Linked DNA regions of Drosophila melanogaster. The protein of the gene in region 2 interacts with the protein of the main gene of each other region in a pairwise test. Each region holds a gene or a part of one and is shown on either strand. Other genes may lie near its edges.

The links. The genes of interacting proteins can lie anywhere in the genome.
Region 1: the proteins of Pus1 (region 2) and CG10494 interact in a two-hybrid assay, tested with the Drosophila melanogaster proteins (one large-scale study listed by BioGRID).

Annotation. Positions count from the first base shown.
Region 1 is NT_033778.4:21,514,864-21,522,501, forward strand, and holds CG10494 (uncharacterized protein), read right to left. Parts: upstream 4,263-7,638; 5' UTR 4,143-4,262; coding exon 4,067-4,142; exon of another isoform or gene 4,063-4,066; intron 4,008-4,062; coding exon 3,594-4,007; intron 3,535-3,593; coding exon 3,118-3,534; intron 3,059-3,117; coding exon 2,394-3,058; 3' UTR 2,292-2,393; downstream 1-2,291. Other genes in the region: MESK2 (misexpression suppressor of KSR 2), read left to right, coding at 1,025-1,470; CG30288 (uncharacterized protein), read right to left, coding at 4,472-4,884, 4,952-5,118, 5,176-5,218, 5,281-5,506; CG30289 (uncharacterized protein), read right to left, coding at 5,748-6,256, 6,315-6,539, 6,754-6,970.
Region 2 is NT_033777.3:20,590,524-20,597,890, forward strand, and holds Pus1 (pseudouridine synthase 1), read right to left. Parts: upstream 2,149-7,367; 5' UTR 2,074-2,148; coding exon 2,034-2,073; intron 1,971-2,033; coding exon 1,485-1,970; intron 1,430-1,484; coding exon 1,153-1,429; intron 1,089-1,152; coding exon 563-1,088; 3' UTR 501-562; downstream 1-500. Other genes in the region: Srp72 (signal recognition particle 72), read left to right, coding at 1-247, 306-435; bon (bonus), read left to right, coding at 3,321-3,521.

The DNA.
Region 1 (7,638 bases), on a different chromosome or scaffold from region 2:
CAAATTACATTACACTAACCATACTCAAGTCGAGAAAAACGATAAACGAAACGAAAATTGAAAAGTGTAAGCTTTTGTTGTATATTTGAGAATTCTAAATAAACGAACGAACAACGTGAATTTCGAACTGTAACGGTGCGGCCAGAGTGATATACTCCTCCGAGATATGAATATATCTGGTGTTGATGGTCCTCTGGCCACTGGGAGTCGCGTCTCTTTCCCACAGCAGCAGCATCGTCGTCACAGCAGCCACATCCAATTCAATCCCAGCAAAGGGAGCTCATCGCATCGCATCGCATCGCATCGATCCGCTCATCGACCATCGCGAAATCTCAGCCCAGCTTCCTTCCCTTCCCCTCCATCTCGTCCATCAACTAGAACAACAACAACAACAAACAACAATAATAATAAAATTTATTAATTATAACGATAATAGAACAACAGCAGCAGCAGATTGTCGCCGCTTTCATCTCGAATCATGCAAAATGCACACCATACACATTACATTCAGATACAGATACAGATACACTTGCAGCTGCGATTAAAATAAGGATAGAGGTAAATTATTTAGATTCATGTGTTGTAAGCTGTTTTTATAGCTTCAGCTAACTAAAGATAGTTTCAAGTGAACTTAGCCTTATTAAACAATATAAAGACTGAATTAAACGATGTAAATTGTAACCATAATCAATGATGAGATTATTGAATACTACATAGTTATCTTTACAATGGACATAAAGCCTTAACTTCCATTCGAATTTTAAGAGTTAAGAGAGTCAAGCAAATCTAAGAATTTTATTTATTTTAATCGCAGCCTTTTGCAAACGTACAGACATCACCACACGTACATACATTTCAAAAACAGCAGGCAAGCCTTTTAGAAAGTGTATAAAGAAAAACACCCATCAAGAACAAGAACCAACAACTTACATGTTATCAAGTGACATAACGTAAATAACAAAAGCCAAACTACTACTACCTTCCCCCCAAAACAACAACAACTCCACTTATAAAACTGCAACAGCAACGCCGCTGTCCACGCCAGCGAGTTCGCCCTGTGGAACTAAATACCACACCTACTCCTCCATCTTCTTTGCCAACTTCCGGGAGCAGCAGCAGCAGGCGATGGAGGAGCGCGATCGTGAGCGGGAAAGGGAGCGGGATCGCCAGCGGCAGCTGAGCCTTCGCGTTGGCAATCGCCTTCGGGAGACGGCCATCAATTGCACCAGCAGCAACTCCAACACCACCGCCGGCCAGGGGGACAATAATAATGCGGATGGTCGCAGCGTCGACGGGGACGACCAGGATCTGGAGAACGGAAACGGATGTGCCGGCGGCAACGGAACAGGAACCGGTAATGGCAACCGAGCCTACGTGACCACGGACACATCGGGCACGCTTTACTACGGCACCCAGAGCAACAAGATACGCATCACAGAGAACCCACTGCCCGAGCCGGTCAGCTCTTAGATTGTTACTGCAGAGTCCACATAATCTCCAAAAGACACCTTGTTATTGTTGTTACCACACACTGAGAAAAAATAATGCAGCAGCAGCAGCCAAGTCAAGCCAAGCTTTCAGCCGTGCTCCAAGAGACACAAAGCCACAGAAACTCAAAGAATAAAAAATATTATGAAATACAAGCAACTCACACACCGCTAGGAAATGAATGCGAATGCAATAATTAACCACCAAATGAGAACCCATTGATTGATTGATTGATTGATTGGTTGATTGATTGATTGTGTTTCCCTATGGTTTTCGAGATGCGGAGAGATATTTGTAATTTACACTTTGTGCCTGAGCGTAACGTAACGAACATACACGTATATATATCAAGCCAGATCGGTTCAGATCAGCAACAGCAGTTTAGTTTTCTATGCCCAATTGATTACATTGTTTTTTTTTTTGGAGTGCAACACATATTTTATGACGAGCTTGCTTAGTTGTTGTAAACCGAACAATATACAAAATATATACATATGTGTATACAGATGACACAAGCAGAACAAAAACTAAAAACTAACGAGCATTTTCGCTTAATGTTAAAACCTAAAACGAATCCAACTGTTAACTTAATCCCAAAAAATAACAATGTAGCATATCAAATAAAAAACGAAAAATCTCTCAAAATTACGTATATACTTATACAAAACCCTAGATAAATCGTAGACAATTGCGAATTGCGAGTAACTTCAAACCAACATTCTGTTCACAATGAATGAGGAATAAATTCTAGACACAGGACACTGTCACAAAAACAGGATACACACACACACACGATATTGAATATAGAATACATACATATAATATATATAAATAATGACAACTTTTTGCAATAACTTCGAATTCAATTCAATAAAAGTTTTAGAAGCTTGAGTTCTATGTTTCCATTACTTCGGTTGCAGCATTTCGCTGATCCTGCGCAGGGTCTCCTCTCGATCTCGATGCATCAGTTCCGATACTTGTTCCAAAAATTGATGCTGCTGCTCGCGTTGCTGCCGCAAGAAGCTTTCGTTGGTAGTTTTGATCTGCGCAAGCAGCTGCTTTTGACCTTCTATGATTGCAGTGAGTGCTTCAATCGGCGTTGGTTCAGCCTCCATCTCGATGGCGTCCACGTAGTCCTCGCTATCGGCTGCCGCTCTTAGGAGATCGCAGGTGGAGCTGGAGTTGTCGCTGTCACTTTCCAGCGGAACGCTTGGTTTGCCTGGCGGCTTGAGAAAGGAAGGCTTGCTGATGCGAATGAGCCTGCTGATGGCACTTTCTCTGTTCTCCCGCGGCGCCTGAATCAGTTCATCGAAAAGCTCAAAGTGGCGAGGCAGAATGCGTACATTATCTAGCCCGTGCTCCTTGGCCTCTCGATGACGCTTGCAGAGCAGCCTTAGTTTATTGCGCAGCTGGTGTGGCGTGCGTTTGATGTCCTGCTTAGCCAGGATGTTGGAAATGTGCACCAGGGTCTGGAAGTTGCGCTTCCTTGAGCCATCCAAGGCGCGAAAGAAACCATTGTCCCGAATGATGAGTAGAAACGAATCAACCTCTTCGTCTGTCCAAAAGTGCGCTAAGGAACATAGGAATTTAATTAAATATGGAATAGGAACTAGCTATTATAATATCTACCTCCGCTTCTCTGTGATGCATCACCCTCTTCCTCGTCACTGTCATTGAAATCACTATCGCTTGCGCTGCTCAGATGGGCTTCCGCTTCAGCATCTGCGGCCGCCTCCTCTTCGGTGGGATCCAGGACCAGTCGCATCGCCTCAAAATGCTCGAACGTTTTCCCCGTGCCGTTCTTGACCTTGTTGTACAATCGCCGCAGCTGCTGGAACTTGATGCGCAGCTTCTCAGCACCCTTGTGGCAGTTGCGTTTTGCCATCTCCTTGGACAGCAGCTTGAAGACCTTGGCATTGCGCTTTTGCAGCAAAGCTGCTCGCAGTCCAAGTGTGTGGATCAGGTCTAGGAGGAGGTCCACTTCGCCCTCTGCCCACTTGCAGCGGGCGACGATGTTAACTGAAGATCCTGAGGCATCCAAAGCATCTGCGAAGGAAAGTCGCCTAAGTTCGTATTCCAATACATTCCTGCCCGGTGGCACCTACCGTCCCCTTCGGTTTCTGAGATCATGCCGGACTGGTCCTCGTCGGCCTCCATATCGCTGTCACTCTCTAGCGCCTCTTCATCCAGATCAGATACATCTTCTCCCTGCATCAACTCGTGCACCGCCTCAAAGTGCTCGAATGGTTCGCCGCCATTCCGAGCTCTCGCATACTGACGCCGCATCTGATGGAACTTGACTCTCAGATGCTTTGGACTCTTGGGGCAGTTCCGCCGGGCCATTTCTCTGGACACCATACGAAACACCTTTGCATTGCTTCGCGGCCTTCGAAGAGCAGCTTGCAGTTTAAGTTGGTGAATGATTTCCAGAAAGGTCTCCACCTTTGCGCTGGTCCACTTGCAGCGACTCGCTTTCCCAGAACTATTTTCCGACACCGAGTGACTCGCATTTCCCAGATCTGTTACGAAAAGTAAGGATTTGGTAACATCGAACCGGCTGAGGACGCTGCTTACCCACTCATAAGGTGTGCGTATTTCTGCTCCGTTTCGTGCTCGTCCTCATCGTTGCCATTGAAGAGCGAGAACTTGCTCATTTTCAAATGGTTATGCTTAAATCGCGCAATGAAATCAATAAATATATATTTATATTTGATCGGTTTTTTTTTAGCTTGATCAAATCATAACAATAACAAAACTGTCATCGATAGTAGGACGCGTTAAGCTACCTATCGTTATCGGCATCGATGCGGCCGTACCATACATTCTGCTCGAATGTATGTTTCATGTAAGGAATATGTATGTTAAATGTAGAAATAGCCTACAATCTGAAAAAAAAAACCAAAACCAACAAGAAACTATGATATTGATAGCCAAAATATATACGCTAAAACATTATATTGTTATTAAGCAACATATTTTGATCTCATTCAAAGTCGTCTGAATGGTTTTGAATAACATCCAATATCCAGTCCGTAAAGTGTGTGACATTGGTGTAAATTCCCAAGCCACTGCACAACCGAAGTCCTTGGCTAGCGACACCGAACTGGAAGACCCTTCCCTGCCCCTCAAATGTACGAATTGCGCTCAAAGGACCTCCCGAATCGCCTTTGCACGAATCACTGATATAACTGCCGGCACATATATAGGATATATCGAGAGGTCTTCCAGGTCTTTCACAACTCCATTGAGGTAATTGTTGCAGGGTGGCAGTCTGTAGCCTATCTTGCTCTTCTCCATCACTATTTGTACCCCATCCGGTGAAATTGAAGCGTAATATTGAGAGTGGGTTCCCACCCAACGTTTTGCCCAGAATCAAGCAGATTGGTCTGACATAGTCTATGGCGAACTTTAGTTAGTTACATATTTAGTTCCCAAGAAACTTTTGATAGCGAAATGCACTTACTTGAGAATATCACACTCCTTTGCATTCGCAACAGACCAATATCATATCCTGGATTACTATGAACAATTTTCCTATCCACGTCCACATTGTAGGCCCTTGGTGTGCAGACAAAATCATCGCAGTCGAATATGGGATGTCGGGTATCGTATTCGCCCAGGCGCACATTCCTTAAAAAAGGTCATTTTGAGGATCAAATGTGTAGTAATAGTATGGTATGCACTCACATATACATTGGGGAAATGCAATGCTCGGCGGTCAAAACAAATCCTAAATGAACATACAATGATAATTTGAGTATATATTTCTTATTATCAATTCCAAATACTTACGAGCAGTTATAAGTGAACCGCCACACACTGCTTTTCCCGAAATCATTACTCTGACCATCCAGGGATTCGATTCCATGCCAGCATCTCTACCTCCATCGATTCGCGCTCTATAACCATTACTGCTCGTGGTTCCACAGTCGTTTTCCAGTAAGCGTCCGGATTCCGTCCGGATAATCCCAATAAAAAGACAGGCTACTATCACAAGCTGCCGTATAGGTAGACGCATCTTGTTCAGAGACTAAATTCGAATGGCATCGGTTTCTATTTTTATGCTTGTTCTTCGGCAAACGGCAGAGATAAGAAGTGATTTATTCAGAAAAAATACTAATACAATTTTTACAATCGATTTGAATGTGACATCGTTTATTTTCAATTAATGACAAGATTTTTTTTTTTTAATTAAATCTCTTGAACTTTAATATATTTCGAACTTCGATGCGTTGCCCTGCCATTTTGTCGAATATTAATTAATTTTCATATACAATTCTGTTATACATTAGTTCTATATTCCTTATTATGTCTGTTATGTTACAAGTTTGGCCTACGAGCTTGGATAACCAAAAGGTAGTATGACCTGTAGGTTTGAATTGAACCATTTTATTAAATATCCATTCCCTGTGGTACGATACATTGGTGTAAACACCTGCCACATTAGCCGCGCACCTTTCGGATCCGTAGCTGACCAAGCCGTACTGGAAACTCAGAAGCCTGTTGCCATAATGAAATTTCGAGCTCAATGGGCCTCCAGAATCGCCCTTACAGGTGTTACTGGTATGACTGCCAGCACATATCTGCGATCGATCAGCCTGTTTGTTGAACTTAATGTTACAGTATGATATATCCATGTTATATAGAGTGGCATTCAGTAGGATCCGACTGAATTGACCATATTCTGTTTCACCCCAGCCGGTAACCGTAAACATTGGAATGCTTTGCATTTGCTCGCCGACAAGAAGGCAAATTGGCCTAACATAATCTATAACGAAAAACATAAAGCTTTAGTCATCCACGTGAGATAAAACCCCTCTATTTACCTGAGTACTCCACAGCTTCGGACATACGAAGCAATGCTATATCATTCTGGAGAGTGATGCCATTATAATTTTCGTGAACAATTTTCATATCCACACTAATGTTGTAGAACTTTGGTATACAGTGATTGTTAAGGCAGTATGGCATGGGATCTAGTGTTTCGTAATCACCCAAGCGCACATACAGATCTTCAAAGGATACGCAGTGCGCTGCTGTCAGGACGAATTCTTAAAAGAAAAATAAATAAATAATAAAAAAATAATAAAATAGTCGACTATCTCGATTATTTATTCATATGCTTTTCAGTTTTTGGGTACATGTAAGTTAAGATATATATATCGTGGACTATGAACTATATTATAAATCTAAATAAATATAAATATATTAATATATTAGTATAGAGTAAATAAAGAATAACCAATGTTTTAGTCAAATACATACGCCGTGCAATAAGAGAGCCGCCGCAGGGCTTACTCGACCAAACCAACACCATCCAAGGATTTTCTTGAATATTTGTTTTGGCTCCTCCAAAAATGTTCGGAACGTATGGATCGTCCTTTGATATTCCACAATTCTCAACCAGCAGGCGCGACATTACGTTATTGTTGGCAATAAATAGGCATACGAGTGCCGCGATTACCGCATTGATCACTTCCATGGTTGCGCGAAGACTGATCGGTGATAGCATATCAACTATTTTCCGTTTGGTGCTAAAAAGTTTAAGCTGTTCGCTTTTTAACAAAAAATTAAATTAACATAATAGAATATATTAATAATATATATATATTTAACAAAACTCTGGCCGGAAGGGCAATTAGCTTTTGAGTTAGGTTAAAAACTAAAATATGTTCATACAATAAATACTAAGTTTGACTTTTTATGATATCGTTAAAAATTATCGGCAATATCGATAGAGTGTTAATTCGTTCCGCAACAAATGGTGTACCAAGTGGGTAAGTGTCATTTTTACCAACGTCAAAAATTGCAATAAGATTTGTAGTTTTTCTGAAATGTCAAAAATGTTAAAGGAGAAAAAATGGTAGTTTCTGGGGCATGCCAACTCGGGCTTTAGCTGCAAAGTAATTGGCAACTTGATTTCCATCGGTGACTGCAACCACAGCATACTGCAACTTGTTGCGAGCGAGAGAGAGAGAGCGAAGTTCGATTCGAACATCGAGCGAAACGGGCAAATCGGTTAAACGGTTCGGCCGAAGCTATATAAGCAACCCGCAATAGCCACTCTGTAAATTTGAAGATAAATTTCAAGCCGGGCTGCCCGTGTTTCAGTTTCCCAACGAAAACATCAACAAATAACATCATAGAAAA
Region 2 (7,367 bases):
CGGCCAAGAAGACTGCCAATACCAAGGTCGAACCCTCGCCGAGCACACCGCTAGAGAAAAAGAAGAACAGGAACCGTAAACGAAAGGGCAAGCTCCCCAAGAACTACAACGCCGAAGTGGCTCCTGATCCAGAGCGCTGGCTGCCCAAGTACGAGCGCACAGGCTTCCGAAAGAAGCGAGGTGGCGCTCGCGGCAAAGATGTCATTAAGGGCTCCCAGGGCATGGCCTCAGGAGCAGCCGATCAATAGTAAGCTCGTTAGATAGTAAATTGTTAAAATGGTTCTAATTAAAATGTTTCTTTACAGCGACATGTCCAGCCGCGTGAATCTGACCAAGAACTCCCCCGCCACACCCGTTTACCAGGAAACAGCTCCAGGTCCAAGGCAGCAGCACCGCAAAGGTGGCCACAAAAAGAAGAAGGGCGGTCGCTTCTAAACTGACACAGATCACATGCCTTTATACTTTCGAACGCTGATTATAAAAACCGCTTTTGCATTTTACCTTATTGTACAAGTGTAAATTGATTGGATTTTATTTGTTAATGTTCATAAAAAAATCTATCTTATTCGTCATTGTCGTCATCACCACCTTTAACCTTCTTGTCTTCGGAGGAAGGTGGAGGCGCGTCCTCCGTCCGCGTGTCGTACGAGTGATAATGCAATGTTCCTATCCAGTCGAGCATGTTACGCTGCTCGGCTTCCGTCTTATAGATCTGGCTAAAGATCTCCCTCTCGATAAACTCCTGGACTTGCGCCTCCTGCGCCTGCCATGTCAGCGGATTGTGGATGCCGTCCTTGCCGTAGCGATCGTTGTAGCGCTCGTAGTGCACTGTGTCCAGCACGAGGCCCAGTCCAGGGGCCATCGGCAGGTCCAGACGCTCCTCCGTCAGTGCCCGCTCTAAAGTGGCCGCCGTCGTGTTCCCCCTTACAATGGCAATGGCTAGACCCACCATCTTGCGAATCTGGTGCAGCATAAAGCTCTGACCCTTAACCTTAAGTGTGACAAATTCGATGTCCTGGGGACTCCGGAATGGCTCGCTGCTCGTAAAGGACATGATGAAGCGCTTGGACGAAGGATCCAGAAAGCTTCTACAAGGGTAGTAAACAAAATATTAGTTGGAGCAGAAATGAAGTATAAACCTGGCTTATTTACTTCTTGCTGGTGAAGTTGTGGAAGTTCTTCGTGCCCTCGTAGAGCTTCAGGGTTTCTTTAACCTTCTGCAGCAGCTCTGGTGAAATCCGGAAGGTGTCGTGCACGTCGTCGACCTTTTCCTCAAACGGAGCAAAGGCCACGGTGGGCAGTGTGTAGGTGTAGGTCCGAGCATTGCATTGATCCTTGGCATTGAAGCCCTTAGTCACGCGTTCTACGCCAAACAGACGGATCTGTTGCGGCAGATCGGCATTGAAGGCCTCCAGGTCCAGCTCCTCAGCTGCAGGAAGGAATAGGTTTAGTATTGTCTTGTAAAATAGAATAAGTAAACTAACGCAGCTTGACGGAGCACACCTGGCGGGCGGCGGAGACGCCCTTGTCGGTCCTGGCCGCTCTTTGGAAACAGGAAATCTGAATCTGCTCAAAGCTGTCCTCTGTAATCCACTTGTGCTTTAGCATGGCTTTGAAGAGCTCCTCCTCGATGGTCTGCATGCCGGGATTGCGCTGCATACCATAGTAGTTCGCACCGCAGTAGCTAAGCAGGATGGCGCTCTTCTTGCGCTTGATCCGGTCGGCGGGATCGAACGGCGCTCGCTTCACGCCGTTGGCGGCATCCTTCTCGTCCTGCTCCTTCCAATCGACCCATTTCTTGCGTTTAAGTGTTCTCTTGATGCGGTTGGCGTCCTTCACGGCTTCGCCCTCCAGTTCTTTGGCCTCTTTCCTGGCTTCCTTCTCCACCTCCAGTTTATCTAGAGCCTCTGACATCGCTGCGGCGAAGGATTTGTGGCGATTCCAGGGATTGCAAAGGGTTTTCAGGCGAACTATTGTAAGAAAATTAATTATTATAAATTCTCGAATTGGAGGTGTGATCACTAATAATTAACCTGCCTTGGTGTAGTCGTTTAAAAGTCGTCTTAAAAACATTAAGTAAACAATTCTGGATTTAAAGTGGAGGAATTCACACACGTGTGGTTGTGCTTCTTCTTCTTGCTCTGTTACGGATCAGCTGTTTTATTTAACAGCTCTGTTTGGCTAATACAAATATGTTTTTTTCGAAAATCGCGTTCTTTGAATTAGCTCAATAATTAAGTTGAGTTTCCGAAATGCTACTTTTGATTTACTTAAGTTTTAAATTAGCTGTGTGGAGAAAAATGTTCAAAGCTTTACGTAACGTTATGACTTAACAGAACGAAGACGTTACAAGTTTATTTTAAAAATTATGTTATATTTTACTATAACCTTTTAATACCAGGCTAAGTTATTAGTTTTAAATTGTAAATAAATGGCATCTTGACCATGTATTACAACATTAATATGATTTTTTACGAAATGAACGGCGAATTCAATTGTGGTATTGCCAGATCGCGTGTTTAGTGTGACCTCAGCTGCTTACGTTTCCACGGCCGTGCGTAACAGCCCTCGAAATGCCGTCGTACTGGCAACGCCGACATGAATTAATTGAATCCAAAATGGCTGAACATTTTTTGTACAGAAGAAGCGTCCAACGAGAGCAAACGCCGTGAGACCGTGTGTTTTCGCAGCGAATTACGCCAATAAAACCGCACTAAGAGCGCGCTCGCAGCGCGAATAAAGAATAGCAGCCGCGTATGGACGAAATGCGGCACGAATCGCTGGAAAAATCGACGGCCAGACCGAAAAATAGCAGCGAAATTCGAGCGAACGTCGTGTATAAGTAAAACGAAAGTTGTGTCGCTCTGTGCGAAAGAGAGAGGGAGAACCCAATATTTTTGCAAGCCAGAAGTCGAAGGTGAAATTAAAATGCATTAGCCACCCAATTGAAGAGGAGTCAACTACGAACAAAACTTTAAGAATCAGCGAAAAATCGTTTGTGAACATCCATACAAGCACAAATCGTTGTTTTTGCCTGCTCTCGTGTAGTTCCTGTGTATTGGTGCGCGCGCCCTGTGTGTGTTTGTGCGTGTGCGTGCGTGTAAGCATTGGAATGGATTAACTACCCAACTAATTCCAAAACAATAATACCGCAACATAATCGCAATAGTCATGCCGTTTCAAGGCGACAGCCTTTAGGGAAACATTCGGTCGGTCGGTCAGTCAACCAAAAATCAGTTGCTATAATTAGCACGCCCACGTTTTAATTTCAACGATCGCCAGCAACCGCCTACGCGGTTAAATCGCAGGACTTCGCCAACATGGATATGGATTTGGAGCAGCTAAAGAACGACTTCCTGCCGCTTATCGCCGGGATCAAGCAGGAGCAGCTGGATGCCGTGCCCACGGATGCCCTGCCCCAGATGAGCACACCAAACACGGCCAGCGGTGCGCCCACAACCTCGTCATTGAGCTCCTCTTCGCTGAGTCTGAGCAACCCCTGCGACAGTGCCGAGAAAAGGGTATGTTGCTAGTCCGTATCACGCGTTCGTTACCTATAAGCTAACGCCAAGTTGAGGTTAGCTAAAGCCGCCTAATCACACGTGCTCTTGCGGCTGATAACAAACAGCCGGCTCAATACACATATTCCCCTGCTCTGCGCAGTCTGCTCAGTGTAAACTTTTGTTTTGGTTGGATTTTGATGCGCTCGTGCTGCGTCCTCCTTATCAAGCGTTTCGAATCGAGTCTCGTGCAAAAAGCGTTTGTTATCTTTTTCCCAGGCCAAGGCAAACAAAGCAGCGTATTCACACAACCAAACAAACAGCGCGCAATGGCAAGTGTTGTTGTGTTTCACTTTCACGGCCCAGTCCGAGATCTTACAGTGAGAAAAACGGCGTGCACTTTGCTCTATTTTACAGTATATGTGTATATATAGTTTTCTATTATTTTAAAATTAATATGACTATGCAGTTTTAATCTTGGATATACCAGTTAAGATGTAAGAAATGTGATGTTATCGAACGTTGAATCAACTTTAAAATTAGTTCTAATATACAAATTTTTAAGTTGTTATATGAAAAAATGAAAAATAATATACCAACTTAATGCAAGAATTTAATTAAATTAAAAAAGGTACAAATTAAACATTAATTATTAGCTTACTGATTGAGAATTTTTTTTTTTACTGTGTAGTGAGTTAGGGTCTCGTGCCGATGGTTCTCGATTCCCCTATGAGTGCGAGCAAAACAAGCTGTTTCTAGACAGTCGCTACCTCGCTTTCACTTACGTGGAAGGGCTAAGTCAAGATGGTCTCCCTCTCTTGCAATTGCAGATCAGCTGCAACATGCAGCTGCCACTCTCCAGATGAGCGGCAATAGAGTGTGTGTGGTTGTGTGTGTGCTCTCTACTGTGTTTTGTTTGCTCTCCGTCGTGCTTGAGCTGCTCTTTAAGCTACAGTGGAACCCAAGTAGATCATCCTAGTGGAAAGCTTGAACATAATTGTCCTGAAAAATAAAAAAATACTATAATATTTTAACTACTTCAATCTAAAGAATTATTGAATTGCTTTTACACCTTTTTGTTTATTTTCATTGTATTAGTTACTTACTGTACAGCCAGATAACTTGCCTTAACTGAACTTCCAATATAATTTTGGGACATACAGAATATAACTACCTTATTTTCAACGTAAATTGGGCAATTTGAAAGTTTCATTTAACACTAACATTATGAATTAAAATCAACGGCTTGTGATTACAATAAAACAAAATTAATGTTTTTCACAAATGATAACCGCTTTAGATGACACTAATTGGTCACGATATTTTATTATGTGTGCTAAATAAAACAAACACGTTTTCATGTATGTAATTAAAAATTCGAGCTCTAACTTTCTATGCGGCATGTGATACTTCTAGTTACGGAAGCCTGACTGTATGAAAGACTCAAACTTCTCCTGCAACCGTGCAAATAAATGTTCGCCTAGAGTGGGCCTTTTGGAGTGGCCACTCTCTCTTGAACCCCAACCAGGGATTGGGAATGACATGCACTCATTCAATCCGTCCCTCAATCATGCAAACGGTTGTGTTTGCTGTGGTCGTTGGGGGCACTTAAGACCCCCAGACTCCATGCCCAGTCCCCCCCCCCCCCCCGCCTGAATCCCCTCCAGATCACTTAATGCCCATTTCTGATGCGGGCAAACTATCAAGTGGAAAGTACTTCGCCGAGGCAAGGTGTGGAGTTCAGAATGGATGATGATGGGGATTTCAAAGGAATAGCTTTTAGATTATTAATCCTGTTAAAGATTTTCATACATGCATGTACATAACTACAAAACAATCTGACTTAAGAAACTGCCAAGCACGGAATAGTTAAATAATTAATATGAAAAGAATTATCAAAGAATTATTTATGATCCAGTAAGAATTATGCGATCCTTTAGATTTCCTTTAGATTTGAATGCTAATTCTTCTCTTGACGGCATTTTTTTCCTTTTCATCGAGTAAATTATTCTAATTTATGCATGACTTCACAAAACTAACTGTACCTACTCATGAATACATGGAATACATGATGTCGTTAAGTAACTTTTATGGGCGAAAAACATAATAAGAATTTCTCAATAAAGAGAGAAGACTTAAAATTCACGGATAATTTTTTCCTATATATAGTAAACAATGATACCTCTGCTCATATTAAACTCAAATGATTATTAATTTGTTTTTAATTAAAATTAGCTTGAAAGGTTTTATACATTCATAAACACAAGGTCTGCTTTTGTGGAGACTTTCTTTTTTACCTTTATACTTCCGATTCGGTAAAACACTCAAAATCACTGAAGCTTAACTGAAAAGAGAAACCTATTCATTTGTAGCTCCTGTCAAAATGGCGGGTTTCGGCATTAAAAGTGACAGCTGATGGGGAGGTTGCCGCTGGCGGGCATCCATATGTCATCTCAAAAACACTGCACCTAAATGCATTTTCCTACCCTCCATGAGGCCATATTTAATACTCCCATAAATACGTATGTACGAACGCTTGTCGTACATACATATTCATGAAGTCATGTCTTTGTGTGTTACCCCATGCATGCGACAGGTTGTAATTAAATTGCTTGACATCGGAATAAATGAAAACCCAAAATCGTACGACGCCATTTTGTGTTAGATACCGACGAGACCCGAAACGAATTCTTAGAATCCGCCTTTAATGATGTACAATTAACTTTAATTTGATGAGAATATGCAAGCAAAGCAAAACGAGGAGAAGGCAAAGTGCCGATGGCCAGACGCCGGTGCTAGGAAACCCCAGCCCCCAAAAATAAAAGTCGTTAAATGCACAAAAAAGTAAAGTTTCTAATTAACTTGATTACCCTGAAATAAGGGCGGGTAGATCTTGGAAAATGACTCTCTTTTCACTTTACTCGAACTACCTGGCATTAATGCAGACATCGGGATTTTAAAATGCTGGGATTTTATGGCATCTATAGTCAACCATCCCCTTTGTGATCCGATTGAACGAATTTAGGATTAGAAATAATACTCTATACTCTAAACTAGGTAATTGTGTCAAAGCCAATATGTGCATTAAAGATTTTCTGATTTAGTACGCTCAATGTCAAAATAGATATTCAACATATTTTTGAAGTGAACAAGAGAGGTCGCTCTAGTCTATTCTCGTTACTAGTGTTTTATTTTCGAGTTCGGAAAAAAAATTTTAAAAAAGATTATATGTATATTTGTTTTACTGTCTACTGTTCTTTGTACCTGTTATAAACTTTTAATCTTATATTAATAGCTTTTTGTTATTTTTAGGAGAAAAACCATCTTGGTTGATGTACATTTTATAAACTCTCTCAGTTCCGAACTTATTGTTAATAACGTTTAATTGGAACAAACCATGAAAACATGTTTTTTTCTAAAATGTTAACAGCTTTATAACTTGAAAGGTGGTTCCATTTAGGGACGTTCTCCTGTTTATCCAGGATATACACATTTTAATTGCTTTTCCGGGCAGTCGGTGGGCGTAAGGCCGCCCTAATCCATCCATCGACGTCCAGTGCGTAATTAAAGTTGACTGCGACTGCGGGATCAGTGCGGATGGATGGAATCGGATTGGAACTGAAAAAGGGAATGGGAGTGGTGTAGTTGTAGGTGTAGATGTGGAAGTGGTGCTCGTTGGCAACATGTGTACGCTGGTCGCACTCCTGTGCGGGGATTAGGTGCTACACAGGACATAATCCGATCACAAAAAGCGGATTATAACGCACAGCAACAAAAATGGTGCAGTCGGGCGGCCGTGGCAAAGGGAAACCGAACTGACGCCACTTTAAAAGTAGAGCGTTTCTGTCAGTGGAGGGGAAATGCAGA